3 linked regions of the Xenopus tropicalis genome follow. The protein of the gene in region 2 interacts with the protein of the main gene of each other region in a pairwise test. Links are inferred from orthologs where the notes say so. Each region holds a gene or a part of one and is shown on either strand. Other genes may lie near its edges.

What was found. The genes of interacting proteins can lie anywhere in the genome.
Region 1: the proteins of sgta (region 2) and tmub2 interact in binary tests that used the Homo sapiens proteins (3 or more experiments, as listed by UniProt). The two-hybrid records come from large-scale screens. The link is inferred for Xenopus tropicalis from reciprocal best matches to the Homo sapiens genes SGTA and TMUB2.
Region 3: the proteins of sgta (region 2) and pbxip1 interact in binary tests that used the Homo sapiens proteins (3 or more experiments, as listed by UniProt). The two-hybrid records come from large-scale screens. The link is inferred for Xenopus tropicalis from reciprocal best matches to the Homo sapiens genes SGTA and PBXIP1.

What each region holds. Positions count from the first base shown.
Region 1 is NC_030686.2:18,478,657-18,484,915, reverse strand, and holds the start of tmub2 (transmembrane and ubiquitin-like domain-containing protein 1), read right to left. Parts: upstream 4,115-6,259; 5' UTR 4,008-4,114; intron 3,006-4,007; 5' UTR 3,003-3,005; coding exon 2,401-3,002; intron 283-2,400; coding exon 1-282.
Region 2 is NC_030677.2:99,258,199-99,264,334, reverse strand, and holds the start of sgta (small glutamine-rich tetratricopeptide repeat-containing protein alpha), read right to left. Parts: upstream 4,213-6,136; 5' UTR 4,169-4,212; coding exon 4,069-4,168; intron 3,075-4,068; coding exon 2,971-3,074; intron 2,278-2,970; coding exon 2,199-2,277; intron 1,034-2,198; coding exon 934-1,033; intron 299-933; coding exon 194-298; intron 116-193; coding exon 1-115. UniProt on the Homo sapiens protein: Co-chaperone that binds misfolded and hydrophobic patches-containing client proteins in the cytosol. Mediates their targeting to the endoplasmic reticulum but also regulates their sorting to the proteasome when targeting fails.
Region 3 is NC_030684.2:145,127,176-145,133,191, reverse strand, and holds the start of pbxip1 (pre-B-cell leukemia transcription factor-interacting protein 1), read right to left. Parts: upstream 4,115-6,016; 5' UTR 4,006-4,114; intron 1-4,005. UniProt on the Homo sapiens protein: Regulator of pre-B-cell leukemia transcription factors (BPXs) function. Inhibits the binding of PBX1-HOX complex to DNA and blocks the transcriptional activity of E2A-PBX1.

The DNA of each region.
Region 1 (6,259 bases), on a different chromosome or scaffold from region 2:
AACTGGCGGTAGTTGATTCTGAAGTACCAGATTAATGCTAACATGACCACAAAAACAGGGATCATCAGGTTCCCAATAGGGGGTGTGAGGCCAGTATGCTCTTGGGAGCTTCCTCCAGACTCTGGGCTGGATGAGGATGTCGGGGTGGTGGCTTGAGAGCGGTGGCAGTGGATAACGCAGTTGTCTGTGATATGAAGTGAGCACAGGGTCTGCGAAGAGTCGTGGAGGAGCTGCCCCTGGAAAATTAGCTTCATTTGCTGTTCTTGGCCTGGGAAGTATTTGCTGTTGCACCAGAGGTCACATGATTAGAGATGGTAGAATAATAAGATGAGAATAGGCAAAAGAGAAAGGGAGAGAGAAAAAGGAGTCATCAGATATAGCAAAAATAATATATATATATACTGTAACTGTATCTGTGTGAACTGCTTTTTTTGTTGCATTCTCAGTGCACTTGTAAAAGTCAAGGTTTTCTCTGCTGCTACCTGTGCAATTCCTCCTCCATTATTAGGTAAATGGCAATTTAAAGGGATAGGGACACTTCTATATTTGCCTATATCTCCTTCAAAACCATTTTAACCTCAATTTGACCTCTCTTTTAGATTAACTGGACAAAGGTTGATTCTGCTTTAAGAGCGTGTTGGACTTGACTGGCAGAAAGAATATGGCAGTGCAGTTAAATTGTGTTGTCAGCTAATATTATGTGACCACAGAAGGGGTCTGAAAGAAATAAACAGCAGGAATAAAGCCCCCTAAGGAAAGTAGTAGCCTTCTTCATATGAGGAAGTGGAGTGTTTTTTTACGGCAATATATTATACTGAATTGGTAGGTTTATGTCAGTGATTTTGTTATTGATAGTTATTACTGCTATCAAAGAAAATGTTAAATCACAAAACTAAAGGTGTCACTATTACTTTAAAGCTCTGTCCATTAGCTCATCCATGATAATGCAGTCAAGTTGTATCTACTATGGAGCAGACCTTGCAGTATTTACCTACAGGCATGGACTAGCACTGCCTACTGCAGAACCTATGTACATATTATATGATACCAGTGACTGCAGTCAATTGTTCAGGTATAGGTTACATTTTCAACTCGCAACCTTGCAGCTATTGCTGAAATACACCTGCCAAGTGCATGCTGTGGTTGTTCAACCACAGTCTTAGAGGTGTTACAGGCTGGATATGTAGAGATTAGCTTTAATCTGGCCATACATGTTGAAATCTGTTCACGCTCAACCCAATTTGGCCACTCATGCGCAGGGCCAATGGGCAGATCATAGAGCAGGGACTATGAAGACACAATGGATGAGGACTGCATCAATGTGTTGATGCGGTTCTAGTCTAATGGGATTTTCAAACCTGAAAGATATTGGTTGGCCTCCTACATGGGCCAATAGGCTGCCACATTGTCCTGGAGCAGTGCTGTCCAACTTCTACGGTGCCGAGAGCCGGAATTTCTCTAGCATACATGGTGGAGGGCCGCTAATGGAAGCCAGTTTTGACCACTCCCCTTTTTGAAACCACACCCACTTCAAACCACACCTATTTTATCACAATGGTGGTAGCACAGCAAAATCCCAAATGCTTGGTTCTTACTGTGGGGATATCAACCATCATTCATATGTGAAAGAATTATGTCATATTAAGATATAACCTTAAATTTCATATGCCTCCTCTTCCCCTGTGGATAGCAGAGCAACCCCCAGTACATAATTTCACACCTTAGGGACCATTTAATGGCTATTTCCAACTGCTAACAAACTCCCACAACAAACCCCTGCCAGGTTCACCTCCCACAAGCAGCATAGGGCAAGCAGAGTATGGCACACACAGACAGCACTCTGCCTGTCCTATGCTGTCTGTGTGTGCCATACTCTGCCTGCCCTACCCTGCCTGTGTGTGCCATACTCTGCCTGCCCTAACCTGACTGTGTGTGCCATACTCTGCCTGCCCTTCCCTTCCTGTGTGTGCCATACCCTCCCTGACCTATGCTGCCTGTGTGTGCCATACTCTGCCTACAGTACCTATGTCTGAGGTGTGAAGAAGTGAACAATGGGAGTGATTACAGTCTGAGCCTGAGGTGTGAACAATGCAGGTATTAAAAGGTGTGAAAAACACAGGGGATTACATTTTTAAACAATACAGAGGGATTACAGCCTGAATCTGAGGTGAGAACCATGCAGGGGGCCAGTTAATCTCAGTACTGATACCATTTAATGCTTACTCAAAGGTAAGCCATCAAAGCAGCCAGACAGGTGGGGGGCCACACAGAGGGGGGTCGCGGGCCGCCAGTTGGACAGCACTGTCCTGGAGGAACCCAGTTGTCAGCTTTTATTGACCACCTTTAATCTGGTTTATATTCTTTATCTGTTATTTGTATCCCAATTCCTCACTATCTCACCTTTTTAACATCCCAATGGTGTCGTTTGGCCTGACCATAGCCACCTCCTCTGTTTCATTCAGGAACTTAAGCCTGACTGTCATGAGTGCTTCTTCAGGCTTCTCCCGAGTCATCCCCTCTTTTGCAAGTGGCTTTTCCTCCTCTTGTTCTATCTTTCTACCCACAATAAGAGGGCTTTCCGCTTCTTTATCATCTTCCTGTGTCACATCCTGCTCTGTGCCATCCTCCTCTCTCAGTGGTGGCACAGCCTGGCTGCGCTTGGATACCCCCTGAATATCCAGCATCTGATCCAGGTTAGCATTTTCACTGCCAGCTTCCTGCTCTCCACCAGGATCCTGCTCTCCTTCTTCTGGTTTCTCAGCTTGGGCTTCCGCAGGCCTCTGTGGTTCAGGACTGGCAGGTACTGGATTACTGAGTACCAGGAGAGGATCCCTGCGCCCAGTTGGGATTAAGCTTCCTAAAAGGGGGTCACTTCCCTCAGCAACGTAGGTTGAAAGCCATGCCAAGGTGATGGCTAGGAGTAGGATGAAGAGACCAACTGCTACTGTTACCTCATCTCCGAGACCCTCTATCATGGTTGGCGGGGGCGACTCCATGCCCATTTCCTAGAAGAAGGACAGATGGTCACATGTTACATGAAAGAGATACAGTGCCCACCATGCTTTACTAGGGGCCGTGAGCACACTGAGCAAACTATATCTACTGGCCAAGGGCAGGTAGCTATCATCCAACAGCAGAAGGAGGGCTGCAGGTAACATGTACTTCTTAAGCTAGAGATACATGTAAGGATCTGCTTGTTTGGCAAGGTCACCAGACAAGCAGATCTTATATGAGGTGGGCAGTATTGGGCCCATCCGATTGTTTTGGCCAATCATACGACAATGATGAAACGCAGGCCATCGAGACTAGGAAGGCATTAGTAAGCCGATCGAAATCTGTTCAATTTCCAGCCAGGTATTGGTTGGCAGGCCCAACAGAGCACCCCATATACAGGTAGATACGCTGCTGACTCTGAATGGGCCAGATTGCCCCTGAGTGGTAAGCTAAAAGGGGGTACTGTGCGGGCAGGTAGGAATACAAAGATGACCCACATTCAGCCCCCCCAGCTATCTGAAACCACAAACACAGGATGCCACCAACAATCCACTGCCACATAGGGGCCTCCCACACATTGAAGCAGGGGTCTCTCTGTATGATATTATACAATAAAAGGCCCAGACACTGCAGAGACAGGGCATCAGCCTTCAGCCCCTTGATAGACAAGGCCCCAAATTCCTTCTCTCTCAGCAGTCACCTGGCCTCCCACTCATTTTCAGAGCAGTCACAGAGTGACTATGGCACCAATACCGCAGCACACACAGTGGAACCAATGGCATTGCCTATCAACAAAACCCTATACAAGCACACAAACTCAGTCAGGGAATCATAGTCTGAATGGGGCTACAGTGTGCCTGTCACGTATAAACGCTAGGAAGTCGAGGCTACAATGGTACGGCCGGGTGTGATGATGTCACGTAAGGGGGTGATACACGTAAGGGGGTGAGGTCACGGCTCCTGAGTCCTGAGCGGGTCTAAATATGACGTGACGTCAAAAGCGTGTCACTTACCGCCCGGCTTCGCCTGGATCCCTCTTTGCCCAAACCCGAGTTCACAAGGGCCCACCCGTATCTGGAAGGTTGCGTCACTAACTACGCGCCCGGGGAAACGTCACCACACAGCGTCACTTTAGCTGGCCGGAAATAGGAAGTAGGAAGAGAGTAGCGATTGGCAGTGATTGGCGGGTTGTGTCTAGTTCCAAGTTGCTAATGGAACAGAGCAGTTTTACAGACTAGGAAATAGATCTTTCAGTGTAAGTTGGGCTAAAATCTAGTGGGAAAAGGAACAGTAATAGAAACTAGACAATTTCTTCAGATATATCTAGTTCCTAGTTGGTAATAGAACAGAGCAGCTTTACAGATTAGGAAATTGATCTTTCAGTGTAGTTTTGCTAACATCTAGTGGGAAAGGGAAAAGTAATAGAAACTAGACAATTTCTTCAGACATATCTAGTTCCAAGTTGCTAGTGGAACAGAGCAGCTTTACAGACTAGGAAATAGATCTTTCAGTGTAAGTTGGGCTAAAATCTAGTGGGAAAAGGAACAGTAATAGAAACTAGACAATATGGTCAGATATATCTAGTTCCTAGTTGGTAATGGAACAGTGTACCTTTGCATATAAGGAAATAGACTTTTTTTATATAGTTGGACTATGTTCTAGTTGGAAAATGAATAATCATAGGAATTATAAAATATAGTGCATGTAGGATAGATCCTACTTGTTTTTACGGAATTTTTCGTTGCGCGTCAAAAAGGGCGTTGTCACATAAAATCGGGCATGGTCACATCAAAAAGGCGCGGGTGCAGCAAAAAAGCACGGGCGACAAAAAAATAGACACAGGCGACAAAAAATAGACGTGGGCAACAAAAAAAAATAGCGTGACTAATGCGTTTTGTGAATTTTTTGCCGTTTTACAAATTTTCTTGCCGTTTCGCAAATTTTATGGCGAAGCGAAATGGGACAGATTCGCTCATCACTAATCATAATTGTAAAAGAGGCTGTCATTTTATCCCGGTTTAGAAGTGCTGTCACCTAGTGAAATAAAGTATTTCAACTAGCTTGTTGAGAACCACTGCCCTATAAATATAAGCTCCATATCATGATAGAGTCCAGCTCATTGCATGTTAATCAACAAGGGAAGGGATTCTGTTGTAACATCCAGACTTCCAGAACCACCAATTGGCAGATTTATGACTGATTCAAGTCCTGGCTTGAACTGTCAAACTCCGCACCAAGGCACCATGTTGGCAATGGCTTAGAGCTGTAAGTCAGTTTTTTCAGATGTCGCTTCAGTCTTCCAGGATCTCAGAAAACATTTTTCGGCGCTTGTTCTCCCCCAGCTGGCGCTCCTCCCAGTATTTCCTCCGCTTCACAAAGTGCGTCAGGGCAAAGTTGCGGGCGATGTGGTGACCGACAGGATCGTTCTGCAGTTGGTGGAGCTTCTCGACTGTGTGAGAGAGAGAGAGAATATATCAAATATAATGCCGTATTACAGGAAGGGATCTCTGGATCACCCCAGTATAGCTGTATAGCAGACATACCCAGCTTCTGCTCTATCTCATCTTTGACCCTTAAGGTTGATGCCGTCCACATGCGATCTAACACACGGCTGCCATATTTATTGCAGGCCAACTGCATACAGTGACCCTAGGGAAACACAGAAAAGTGACTGCATGGAAAATAAAACGAGGATGATGAAGGTGGTACCTAGCACTGATAGGCAGGTCATGTTTAGTTGGCATTACCCCTACTGACTGGGCACAATAACTGGCAATAGTACTATATTCTTCACTCCTCATTTTAAAGGGGTGGTTCATTATGGCATTATGAGCAGTAATTAGCATGGCATGAAGGACAGGTCATGTCAGACCAATTGGTGCCAGCTATGGCACTGTTTAACTAAGCAGGAAGGCATTATTTTGGTCCTGAAAAAGGAGAAGCATTTGTTTTCAGTGAATGCAAATAAAATTTTATTTGAAACTATTACAACATTTAAATCTAATAGTGTCTTCCAATATAGATCATCTTCCTATTATGAATGTATGCATGTATGTATGTAGTATATCTTAATGTATAAAGTGAATATACGGTCTGCTTTTCTATGCCTGCGTTCTTTATGCGGGTTTGCTCTTATGGCAAGGGCATATGGGGCAGATTATCAGCCATACGGGGCAGATTGTCAGCCAGAGGATAAGAGCAAGACTTGCCATTTTTTTGCAGATATTGCCTGCAATGCTTCTGGGTACAACTGTAGGAGCTGCTG
Region 2 (6,136 bases):
CTGTTCTGCAATCTTTAGGTTTGATTTGTAGGTTTCATTGTCTGGATCCAGTATCAGGGCTTGTTTGTAAAAACCTACAGCTTCTGCATGTTTATTCAAGCTTGAAAGTGCCAGTCTAAAAATATTAAAAAAGAATGGTTTAAAAACATTTCTTCCATAATTGTAAGGTAAAGTAACTTAAACAGGAACATACCCCATTCTGCCATAAGCTTTGCTGTAGTTAGGGTCAATTGTAATTGCCTCTTCACAGTCCCTCACAGCTCCAGCATAGTTGCCCAGTTTGCTGTAAGCTGCAGCCCTGTGTAAAAAGACACGCAATATAGTGATTAATAATGCCTTGTTTTGCAACTGTTGCAGATACATGACATGACAAATGAAACCAGAAGCTTTTATGTAAAAGTTGTGTGCAAAAATATGTTACTAATGTTACTAAAGACAAAAACAGGCACAAATTACTGAACAGAACAGTACATTTTAATATATATATATATATATATATGTATGAAATTTCTAAATTAAATATTAAAGTGTTATGGACAGCCACTTGAACATTTTTTTTACACCTGCTGTTGTGTTTTAATTTGTATCAGCTTTAAATTCCTTAGAACCTAAATCTGCAAAGTTTTTTCGCTTCATAATTATGGTAGCATGAGACCCATGGAGCAGCCATGTTTGTTCCCCTCTTCCGGGTTTTAATTGAAATGCCTCCCAAGTGAATAAATATGCCCAGTCACAAACCTGCAATGCCCCTTCTGCTTTCAGCGGTGTGTGACAAACTCAGCTCCGTTGTCTATGTGTAATGGTGGGGGAGGGAGTGCCCTTAGAAGCAGACAGGCAGGCACGGGAAAGGTTAAGCTTGCCTGCTATTTAATTCTTCGTGGGAAGAGCAGAGATATATACACACACACATATTTCTTGTATGTAGATACATACCTGTTGCAGTAGTACACAGCATTTGTTGGGTTCAGTTCAAGAGCTTTTGAGTAGTAGGAAATAGCACTTTCAAAATTTTCTAATTTCATTTGCTCATTGCCTAAGAAAAACAAGATTCTCTGCTCATCTAATGGTACATACACCAAAAACTACCTCTGGCCACAATAATTAAAACACAGATACAGGTTTAAGAAAAGTAATAACATGACAGTAATTCTTTCTCTTTCTATTAATTGATATCAAAATTGCCTTGAGTCTGCAAACTCAGCTTCAAAGTTTTTGAAAAACAGATTTCAATACAGGATTCTGCTCGAGAAGCTCTATTAACTGATGAGTTTTGAAAAAGAACATGTTTTCCCATGACAGTATTCCTTTAAAAAGCAGCTGGAGGTCAAGGTGGAGCAAAAGGAGAAAACAAAGTGTAGAAGTAGGGAGTTTGAAGTGGAAGGGCACAAATACATACAAGGACAAATATGTAAGGGAATTATATTAAATGGACAAAATCAGTGGCAAATGGCAAAGAAATCTGGATTAAGGGTGAAAGGTGAAATGAGGGTGATATAAAGAAAAATATAGGAAAAAAGTTAAGATGTGAATTTAGAGAAGTGGAGATTATATAAACGCCTTTAAATCAAATATCCTTATACTGCCATACTGTCTAACTATGCTACCACAAGTATTTTCTTGTCCCAAAATGTACTCCTTAATGCCATTTTTTTTTTACCAATATACCATGGCTTCTCAATTAATGCAATTGAATATTCTGCATAACCTCACAGTCATGAACAATTAATACAAGGGACAATTTTAAAGGGCATGTCGACCCCAAAAATAACTTTTTGCATAAGAAAAGAAAACATAATTCTAAGCAATTTTCCAATATGAAAAATAGTTAAAAATTTGTAGCGCTTTAAAAGTTATTTGTAAATGTAATTGCTATTGAAAGCAGCATTTGCTGAACTCCTGGTTGTTACTTTCTAATCAGTGTTGCAACTGTCTCCTCCAGCAAGTCAAGTCTGTCAATCTGCTGCCTTGTGTTACATTGTTTCAACAGTCAGAGTCACCAGGGTAGAGAATAGAAAAGGACAGGCAAACACTGCTTTTTAATAGCAATTATAAATACAAATTACTCAAAAATCATTACAAATTTGTAATAAATGTATATTGCAAAGCTGCTTAGAATCTTGTTTTCTTTTATTAGGCAAAAATTATATTTTGCGTTGCCTTGTCCTTTAAGAGATCATGCAACATGTCAAGTGTCCAACCTTCTGTCTTCAATCTTTCAGCTTCTGCTACATCCTCATCACAAGGGGAGGCCAGGCCAGAATTAACTTGCGGAGAGTCCTGAATTTGGGAGGAGAGAAGAAGAATGCTTTAATTAACAGCGCATTAAGTTACCATTTTCCCAAAACTATGGTCTAGACAGCAAACCAATCTTTCTTCTTTGCTAGTTTTAAGTTTCAGTTTACAAAACGGTAAGAAAGCTTAGAATGTAGAGCTACAAAGTCTTATAGTAAAAGCTGTGATTAAAGGAGAAGGAAAGGCTAAATCACGGAGGGGTGCCAAATGTTAGCCCCCCCCCACCAGTGATTGTAATCTCTTACCTGATACCTGTGCCCGGTGCTCCTGTTAGGATGAAATTGCACTGGCCCAGGGTATATGCAAGCTAGCTTTCCTCTTCCTCCTGTCTTCTTTCTTTATAATCCCAGGACAGACACATGCGCAGTTGAGCGGAAAAGCTGGCTTTTCTCTCTACTGAGCATGTGAAGAAGGATCACTAGCTCACATACACACCAGCCATGCAGTTTTCTCCTAAGAGGAGCACTGGTTGGGGGTTTTAGGCAAGCAATTACAATGATTGGGGATGCCTAAGACTTTGGCCCCAGTAACTGTAACTTTCCTACTCCTTTATGTTATCAAGTTTGTAAGAAAGATGAAATATGGTATGTAGACTTTAAAAAGTTTAGAATTTCGCAATTCATTTTTTTCCAAAACAATGCCATTTCATGTCAGTCAATAACTAATTACAAGGATTACCTGACATGTGGCTTCTGTAAATATCTCTTGGAGACTCCTTGGTACAGCTAAGTTACTGTCTTCAATGGAAACCTCAAAGGCTGTCTCCAGGCACTGAATAGCAACTGTAAAATTCAAATTACATAATGCTTCCATCTAGTAATTATACACAAATATATTTAAAGTAATCCAATAGTTCCTGCATTCAAGCATCAGAGAAAGACCAGAAGACTTCCCTGGGATGGAACACTTAATTCATTCAATGCAGGCTTGCATTGAAAACATTTGTGGACTAACATTCACAATATTAATTTACAAACTTGTACATTTTCATTTTTTACAGTTATTAAATGAATGAATCAGGGTGTAATTGAGACTGATCAACAGAAACACTTCCCCACCAGAGGTGCAAGCTAATACAACAACCAGACAGCAGTTTGGAAGTCACAATGGATGATTAAAAGAAGATGAACAGAAAAAAAGATAATCAAACTAACAATAAATCTGAACTCTCACATTCATTCAATTTTACTCGCCCAGGTCAATGATCTCCAACAACCAGAGAGCATTTTCAGTTGCAGGCTGAAAATTGTTACATTAATAATTTAAAAAAACAAAACATTCATAACACGTTATACACTACATAAAAAATCTTAACTTACTCTCAACATCCTGATGGGCTATTTGGTAGCCCCAAATGGACTGCTAGCCTGCAGGAGGCTCTGCTTGGAGTAAATCTGTGTCTGGCTTTCAAACCTGCCTCCAAGCCAGAAATTTTAAAATGGGCACCTATTTTGAGGCCGGTGGAAGCAACATCAAAAGGGGTGGTAAGCAACATGTTGCTTGCGAGCCACTGGTTGGGGATTACTGCCCGTATGCATGGTAAGAAGCATTTAGATATTAGAATGCATTTAAAAGTACTGCTCTCCATCCTCTGGACTACTGCCTGTTAAACTTGCACTTCAAGTATCTGGCAGTAGTTCAGTAGCCCCAGGTGGGTGCAGGCTGAATATCATAAGTTTTATGAAAAAGCAAGGAAAAGAAAAAACTATTTTGTCTCATAAGAATAGTTCCCCCATCAAATAAACAGAAAGATAGAATATGAAGTAACAACCAGACCTTCCAGGCTCTCCTGTGCATCTGAGGAAAGCCCACCATTGCGTAACTGGTCATGTAAATGCCGAATAATGGAGAAAGCTAAGCGTTTTTTGTCAGCCATTGGATTTGTGAACACTTCAAGTGACAAGGTCCGACTCTGCAAATAAACTGGCATTAAAACATAAACAATGTCAGTGAATATGAATTCATATCTGATAAAAAAAAAAATAGATATATTTTTCCAGGTACCATTCAGAATCACCAGTCTTTGCCATTTTATCATTAAGCAAATATTCACAAGTACATTTATACAAATGATTAACAATGCACCATTCTCTGCAGGCATATCCAATAATGTTCGTCATTTTTAGCTCCCCTTGTTCAACAAATACTGTTGTTTAGAGCGGCCACTGGATATGCCACAGGTCTCAAAGGAAAAAGAAAACAGTGTTTATGTACATATGGTCACCCACAACCCATATATCTAGGGCCACACTTATACACATTTTCAATATTTCCACCCAGTTAACAGGGTTTGTATGACATACACACACTGTATTATCTTCCAAAGGTAGACTTCAACATAAGAGCTGCAGCATCTGCTAAAATACCTAGTATTTTTATCACTACGGCATAGCACTTTCAGAAACACCACAGGTCCCTTACAAGACAGGGCATATTTGCCCCTGGGCGTAACTCCACGGAAACCAATCAGATTTTTTCTTTCCCAACCTTCAGCCAGCTGAAAACAGCTAATCACTGATTCGTTGGCAAGGGTTACTGCCAAGGTGCAATTTTGCCCAGTGTTGATAAATGAGCCCAGTGTTGATAAATGAGCCCCAATGACCTTTCCATTGCATGGATGATTAATCAGCTGAAGAATTTTAGGGAAAGCCCAGTTTAAGGGCTGTGGCACATGAGGAGATTTGTTGCCAGCGATTTTTAAAAGAGCGATTTGGCGACAAGACGAGCGACAAGATATAAATCAATGGAAATCGCCAGCGTCAGCTTCAAATCGCCTGCTGTTTAAAATCGCACACAGACCCTTTTCTGAGCGACTTGAGTAAACATGAGGGGGGGTTGACTGTTGAGTGTACCATGGGTAGCAGATCGCCTGGAGCTCAACTCGCATGAAATCTCTTTGTGGGTATTGTCGTGGCGACTTGTCGCCAAAGCACCAGGGGGAAAAAACGCAAATCTCCTCGTGTGCCAGAGCCCTAAAGGCAGTAGCGGTCAGAAATGTGTCAAATGGATGGTACTGTGTCAAATGGATGGTACAGACGTCAACAATGCTGTTATCAGCACATACAGGATCCTGTGGTTCAGTAATGGCTGAGCGGATGCAGACAGGACACCCAGACCTAGGCAAAGTCACCTCCCACACGTCAGAAGCCCCAGCAGTATTAGTACACGTTCGTGTAATTAAACTGAAAAAAGCTCCGGGCCGCCATTGGCACCAATATATTAGTTAAATATATCTCTGAGTCTTTCCATTCCGCTCCCCTGTATCAACATTCTCTATCACCAGCGTGTTCAACAGAACTTCCTGGTCTGTTATATGTCGGTTCCATCATATTACCACAAAATAGTAACACCTATATTAACCTTACCATGCACAAAGGCACCCCCCCCAAAAATCTCTCTGACCCAGTCTTACCAGACACCACTACTCACATGCGAAAGCCCGGAACCGGATTCGGAATCACCTGTCAGCTGTCATACAGGAAGTGGCGTCATTAGTCGGATTCGCGAATGTGTCTCAGAGTCTCTGGACTGCTGCGTTTTTGTTTGTACTATGGTGGTTTCGGGTCAGAGACAATTGTCCATGCTCCTGGAGCCAGGTAGCTAACGTCTGGAAGTATATCGGTATGCACAGGGAACACCGACATTTAATGGTAACATTAATATGAGTTTTGAATAATATAAGAGTATTGGCGCAGTGCATGCCTGGGTAATTATACCAATAAATAATATTACAAGGCTATAATACTTAATGGCTTTCTAACGAAAATATGTGCTACATTGCAGTCGACCAGCTCTAGTTAATTTTCAGAACCCTTGTTGTCATTCAAAACATAGAGGCAAACTA
Region 3 (6,016 bases), on a different chromosome or scaffold from region 2:
GTAGTTCCCCGGCTGACAGTTCCTTGGGGCCCCCATGTAGTTCCCCGGCTGACAGTTCCTTGGGGCCCCCATGTAGTTCCCTGGCTGACAGTTCCTTGGGGCCCCATGTAGTTCCCTGGCTGACAGTTCCTTGGGGCCCCATGTAGTTCCCTGGCTGACAGTTCCTTGGGGCCCCATGTAGTTCCCTGGCTGACAGTTCCTTGGGCCCCCATGTAGTTCCCTGGCTGACAGTTCCTTGGGGCCCCCATGTAGTTCCCTGGCTGACAGTTCCTTGGGGCCCCCATGTAGTTCCCTGGCTGACAGTTCCTTGGGGCCCCCATGTAGTTCCCTGGCTGACAGTTCCTTGGGGCCCCCATGTAGTTCCCTGGCTGACAGTTCCTTGGGGCCCCATGTAGTTCCCTGGCTGACAGTTCCTTGGGGTCCCATGTAGTTCCCCGGCTGACAGTTCCTTGGGGCCCCATGTAGTTCCCTGGCTGACAGTTCCTTGGGGCCCCCATGTAGTTCCCCGGCTGACAGTTCCTTGGGGCCCCCATGTAGTTCCCTGGCTGACAGTTCCTTGGGGCCCCATGTAGTTCCCTGGCTGACAGTTTCCTTGGGGCCCCCATGTAGTTCCCCGGCTGACAGTTCCTTGGGGCCCCCATGTAGTTCCCTGGCTGACAGTTCCTTGGGGCCCCCATGTAGTTCCCCGGCTGACAGTTCCTTGGGGCCCCCATGTAGTTCCCCGGCTGACAGTTCCTTGGGGCCCCATGTAGTTCCCCGGCTGACAGTTCCTTGGGGCCCCCATGTAGTTCCCTGGCTGACAGTTCCTTGGGGCCCCCATGTAGTTCCCTGGCTGACAGTTCCTTGGGGCCCCCATGTAGTTCCCTGGCTGACAGTTCCTTGGGGCCCCATGTAGTTCCCTGGCTGACAGTTCCTTGGGGCCCCCATGTAGTTCCCCGGCTGACAGTTCCTTGGGCCCCCATGTAGTTCCCTGGCTGACAGTTCCTTGGGGCCCCCATGTAGTTCCCTGGCTGACAGTTCCTTGGGCCCCCATGTAGTTCCCTGGCTGACAGTTCCTTGGGCCCCCATGTAGTTCCCTGGCTGACAGTTCCTTGGGCCCCATGTAGTTCCCTGCTGACAGTTCCTTGGGGCCCCCATGTAGTTCCCTGGCTGACAGTTCCTTGGGCCCCCATGTAGTTCCTGGCTGACAGTTCCTTGGGGCCCCCCATGTAGTTCCCTGGCTGACAGTTCCTTGGGCCCCCATGTAGTTCCCTGGCTGACAGTTCCTTGGGCCCCCATGTAGTTCCCTGGCTGACAGTTCCTTGGGGCCCCCATGTAGTTCCCTGGCTGACAGTTCCTTGGGCCCCCATGTAGTTCCCTGGCTGACAGTTCCTTGGGCCCCCATGTAGTTCCCTGGCTGACAGTTCCTTGGGGCCCCATGTAGTTCCCTGGCTGACAGTTCCTTGGGGCCCCCATGTAGTTCCCTGGCTGACAGTTCCTTGGGGCCCCCATGTAGTTCCCTGGCTGACAGTTCCTTGGGGCCCCCATGTAGTTCCCTGGCTGACAGTTCCTTGGGGCCCCATGTAGTTCCCTGGCTGACAGTTCCTTGGGGCCCCCATGTAGTTCCCTGGCTGACAGTTCCTTGGGGCCCCCATGTAGTTCCCTGGCTGACAGTTCCTTGGGGCCCCATGTAGTTCCCTGGCTGACAGTTCCTTGGGGCCCCATGTAGTTCCCTGGCTGACAGTTCCTTGGGGCCCCCATGTAGTTCCCTGGCTGACAGTTCCTTGGGGCCCCCATGTAGTTCCCTGGCTGACAGTTCCTTGGGGCCCCCATGTAGTTCCCTGGCTGACAGTTCCTTGGGGCCCCCATGTAGTTCCCTGGCTGACAGTTCCTTGGGGCCCCCATGTAGTTCCCTGGCTGACAGTTCCTTGGGGCCCCCATGTAGTTCCCTGGCTGACAGTTCCTTGGGGCCCCCATGTAGTTCCCTGGCTGACAGTTTCCTTGGGGCCCCCATGTAGTTCCCTGGCTGACAGTTCCTTGGGCCCCATGTAGTTCCCTGGCTGACAGTTCCTTGGGGCCCCCATGTAGTTCCCTGGCTGACAGTTCCTTGGGGCCCCATGTAGTTCCCTGGCTGACAGTTCCTTGGGGCCCCCATGTAGTTCCCTGGCTGACAGTTCCTTGGGGCCCCCATGTAGTTCCCTGGCTGACAGTTCCTTGGGGCCCCCATGTAGTTCCCTGGCTGACAGTTCCTTGGGGCCCCATGTAGTTCCCGGCAGTGCGGGGGTTACGGACAGAATGTCCCGGCAGTGCAGGGGTTACGGACAGAATGTCCCGGCAGTGCGGGGGTTACGGACAGAATGTCCCGGCAGTGCGGGGGTTACGGACAGAATGTGCCGGCAGTGCGGGGGTTACGGACAGAATGTCCCGGCAGTGCGGGGGTTACGGACAGAATGACCCGGCAAGTGCGGGGGTTACGGACAGAATGTCCCGGCAGTGCGGGGGTTACGGACAGAATGTCCCGGCAGTGCGGGGGTTACGGACGGAATGTCCCGGCAGTGCGGGGGTTACGGACAGAATGTCCCGGCAGTGCGGGGGTTACGGACAGAATGACCCGGCAGTGCGGGGGTTACGGACAGAATGTCCCGGCAGTGCGGGGGTTACGGACAGAATGTCCCGGCAGTGCGGGGGTTACGGACGGAATGTCCCGGCAGTGCGGGGGTTACGGACGGAATGACCCGGCAGTGCGGGGGTTACGGACAGAATGACCCGGCAGTGCGGGGGTTACGGACAGAATGTGCCGGCAGTGCGGGGGTTACGGACGGAATGACCCGGCAGTGCGGGGGTTACGGACAGAATGACCCGGCAGTGCGGGGGTTACGGACAGAATGTCCGGCAGTGCGGGGTTACGGACGGAATGACCCGGCAGAGCGGGGGTTACGGACAGAATGACCCGGCAGTGCGGGGGTTACGGACAGAATGTCCCGGCAGTGGCGGGGGTTACGGACGGAATGACCCGGCAGTGCGGGGGTTACGGACGGAATGACCCGGCAGTGCGGGGGTTACGGACAGAATGACCCGGCAGTGCGGGGGTTACGGACAGAATGACCCGGCAGTGCGGGGGTTACGGACAGAATGACCCGGCAGTGCGGGGGTTACGGACAGAATGACCCGGCAGTGCGGGGGTTACGGACAGAATGACCCGGCAGTGCGGGGGTTACGGACAGAATGACCCGGCAGTGCGGGGGTTACGGACAGAATGACCCGGCAGTGCGGGGGTTACGGACGGAATGTCCCGGCAGTGCGGGGGTTACGGACAGAATGTGCCGGCAGTGCGGGGGTTACGGACAGAATGTCCCGGCAGTGCGGGGTTACGGACAGAATGTGCCGGCAGTGCGGGGGTTACGGACAGAATGTCCCGGCAGTGCAGGGGTTACGGACGGAATGTGCCGGCAGTGCGGGGGTTACGGACAGAATGTCCCGGCAGTGCGGGGGTTACGGACAGAATGACCCGGCAGTGCGGGGGTTACGGACAGAATGTCCCGGCAGTGCGGGGGTTACGGACAGAATGACCCGGCAGTGCGGGGGTTACGGACAGAATGACCCGGCAGTGCGGGGGTTACGGACAGAATGTGCCGGCAGTGCGGGGGTTACGGACAGAATGACCCGGCAGTGCGGGGGTTACGGACAGAATGTCCCGGCAGTGCGGGGGTTACGGACAGAATGTCCCGGCAGTGCGGGGGTTACGGACAGAATGTGCCGGCAGTGCGGGGGTTACGGACAGAATGACCCGGCAGTGCGGGGGTTACGGACAGAATGTCCCGGCAGTGCGGGGGTTACGGACGGAATGTCCCGGCAGTGCGGGGGTTACGGACAGAATGTGCCGGCAGTGCGGGGGTTACGGACAGAATGTCCCGGCAGTGCGGGGGTTACGGACAGAATGTCCCGGCAGTGCGGGGGTTACGGACGGAATGTCCCGGCAGTGCGGGGGTTAATGTGCCGGTACCGCTCCCGCTGCCCCAAACTCACCTCACAAACTTCTCTACAGCAACAGGTTCCAGTTCTCGCATCCCACGTGACTCCAGCTGGCCAATCAGCGCTCTCCCCCAGGGAGCGGGGCCAAACAGAACGTCTCATTGTGTCTGAGGGACATCTGGCTCCGCCCCCGACTATGGCTTAACCCTGTGTCTCCCGGCTTGAAAAGTGACAGGTGCACGGACAGCTGAAGGGGCGGGGTCTGGGGAGGAGCTTATGTGAGTGAGTGGCAGGGGCAGTGCTGAGGGGAGAAAAGTATTTAGTCTAGTTCAGCTCTGAGGCTGTCACTCAGAATGTATCAGGTACCGCCCACTGAGCTTGTAGCCTCAGTCTGGGGCCAGGGGGGTGGGTCTGGGGTAGGTGAGTGACAGGTGCAATGTATTACTGTGTAACCAGTAGCTCCTAGAGTGGGTCCTGCTGGTGTTCATTGCCTTAGTCCCATAGCAACCATGTAACCCAGGCCTCAAGCTGATGCTCCATCTTGTCCTACTGTCTCCATCTTGCCCTACTGTCCCCATCTTGCCCTACTGTCCCCATCTTGCCCTACTGTCCCCATCTTGCCCTACTGTCCCCATCTTGCCCTACTGTCTCCATCTTGCCCTACTGTCCCCATCTTGCCCTACTGTCCCCATCTTGCCCTACTGTCCCCATCTTGTCCTACTGTCCCCATCTTGCCCTACTGTCTCCATCTTGTCCTACTGTCTCCATCTTGCCCTACTGTCCCCATCTTGCCCTACTGTCCCCATCTTGTCCTACTGTCTCCATCTTGCCCTACTGTCTCCATCTTGCCCTACTGTCCCCATCTTGCCCTACTGTCCCCATCTTGTCCTACTGTCCCCATCTTGTCCTACTGTCTCCATCTTGTCCTACTGTCTCCATCTTGCCCTACTGTCCCCATCTTGTCCTACTGTCCCCATCTTGCCCTACTGTCTCCATCTTGCCCTACTGTCTCCATCTTGCCCTACTGTCTCCATCTTGCCCTACTGTCCCCATCTTGCCCTACTGTCCCCATCTTGTCCTACTGTCCCCATCTTGTCCTACTGTCTCCATCTTGCCCTACTGTCCCCATCTTGTCCTACTGTCTCCATCTTGCCCTACTGTCTCCATCTTGCCCTACTGTCCCCATCTTGCCCTACTGTCCCCATCTTGCCCTACTGTCTCCATCTTGCCCTACTGTCCCCATCTTGCCCTACTGTCTCCATCTTGCCCTACTGTCCCCATCTTGTCCTACTGTCTCCATCTTGCCCTACTGTCTCCATCTTGTCCTACTGTCTCCATCTTGCCCTACTGTCCCCATCTTGTCCTACTGTCTCCATCTTGTCCTACTGTCTCCATCTTGCCCTACTGTCCCCATCTTGCCCTACTGTCTCCATCTTGCCCTACTGTCTCCATCTTGTCCTACAGTCTCCATCTTGTTCTACTGTCTCCATCTTGCCCTACTGTCCCCATCTTGTCCTACTGTCTCCATCTTGTCCTACTGTCCCCATCTTGTCCTACTGTCCCCATCTTGTCCTACTGTCTCCATCTTGCCCTACTGTCCCCATCTTGTCCTACTGTCTCCATCTTGTCCTACTGTCTCCATCTTGCCCTACTGTCCCCATCTTGTCCTACTGTCTCCATCTTGCCCTACTGTCCCCATCTTGCCCTACTGTCCCCATCTTGCCCTACTGTCCCCATCTTGCCCTACTGTCCCCATCTTGCCCTACTGTCCCCATCTTGCCCTACTGTCCCCATCTTGCCCTACTGTCTCCATCTTGCCCTACTGTCCCCATCTTGCCCTACTGTCTCCATCTTGCCCTACTGTCCCCATCTTGTCCTACTGTCTCCATCTTGCCCTACTGTCTCCATCTTGTCCTACTGTCTCCATCTTGCCCTACTGTCCCCATCTTGTCCTACTGTCTCCATCTTGTCCTACTGTCTCCATCTTGCCCTACTGTCCCCATCTTGCCCTACTGTCTCCATCTTGCCCTACTGTCTCCATCTTGTCCTACAGTCTCCATCTTGT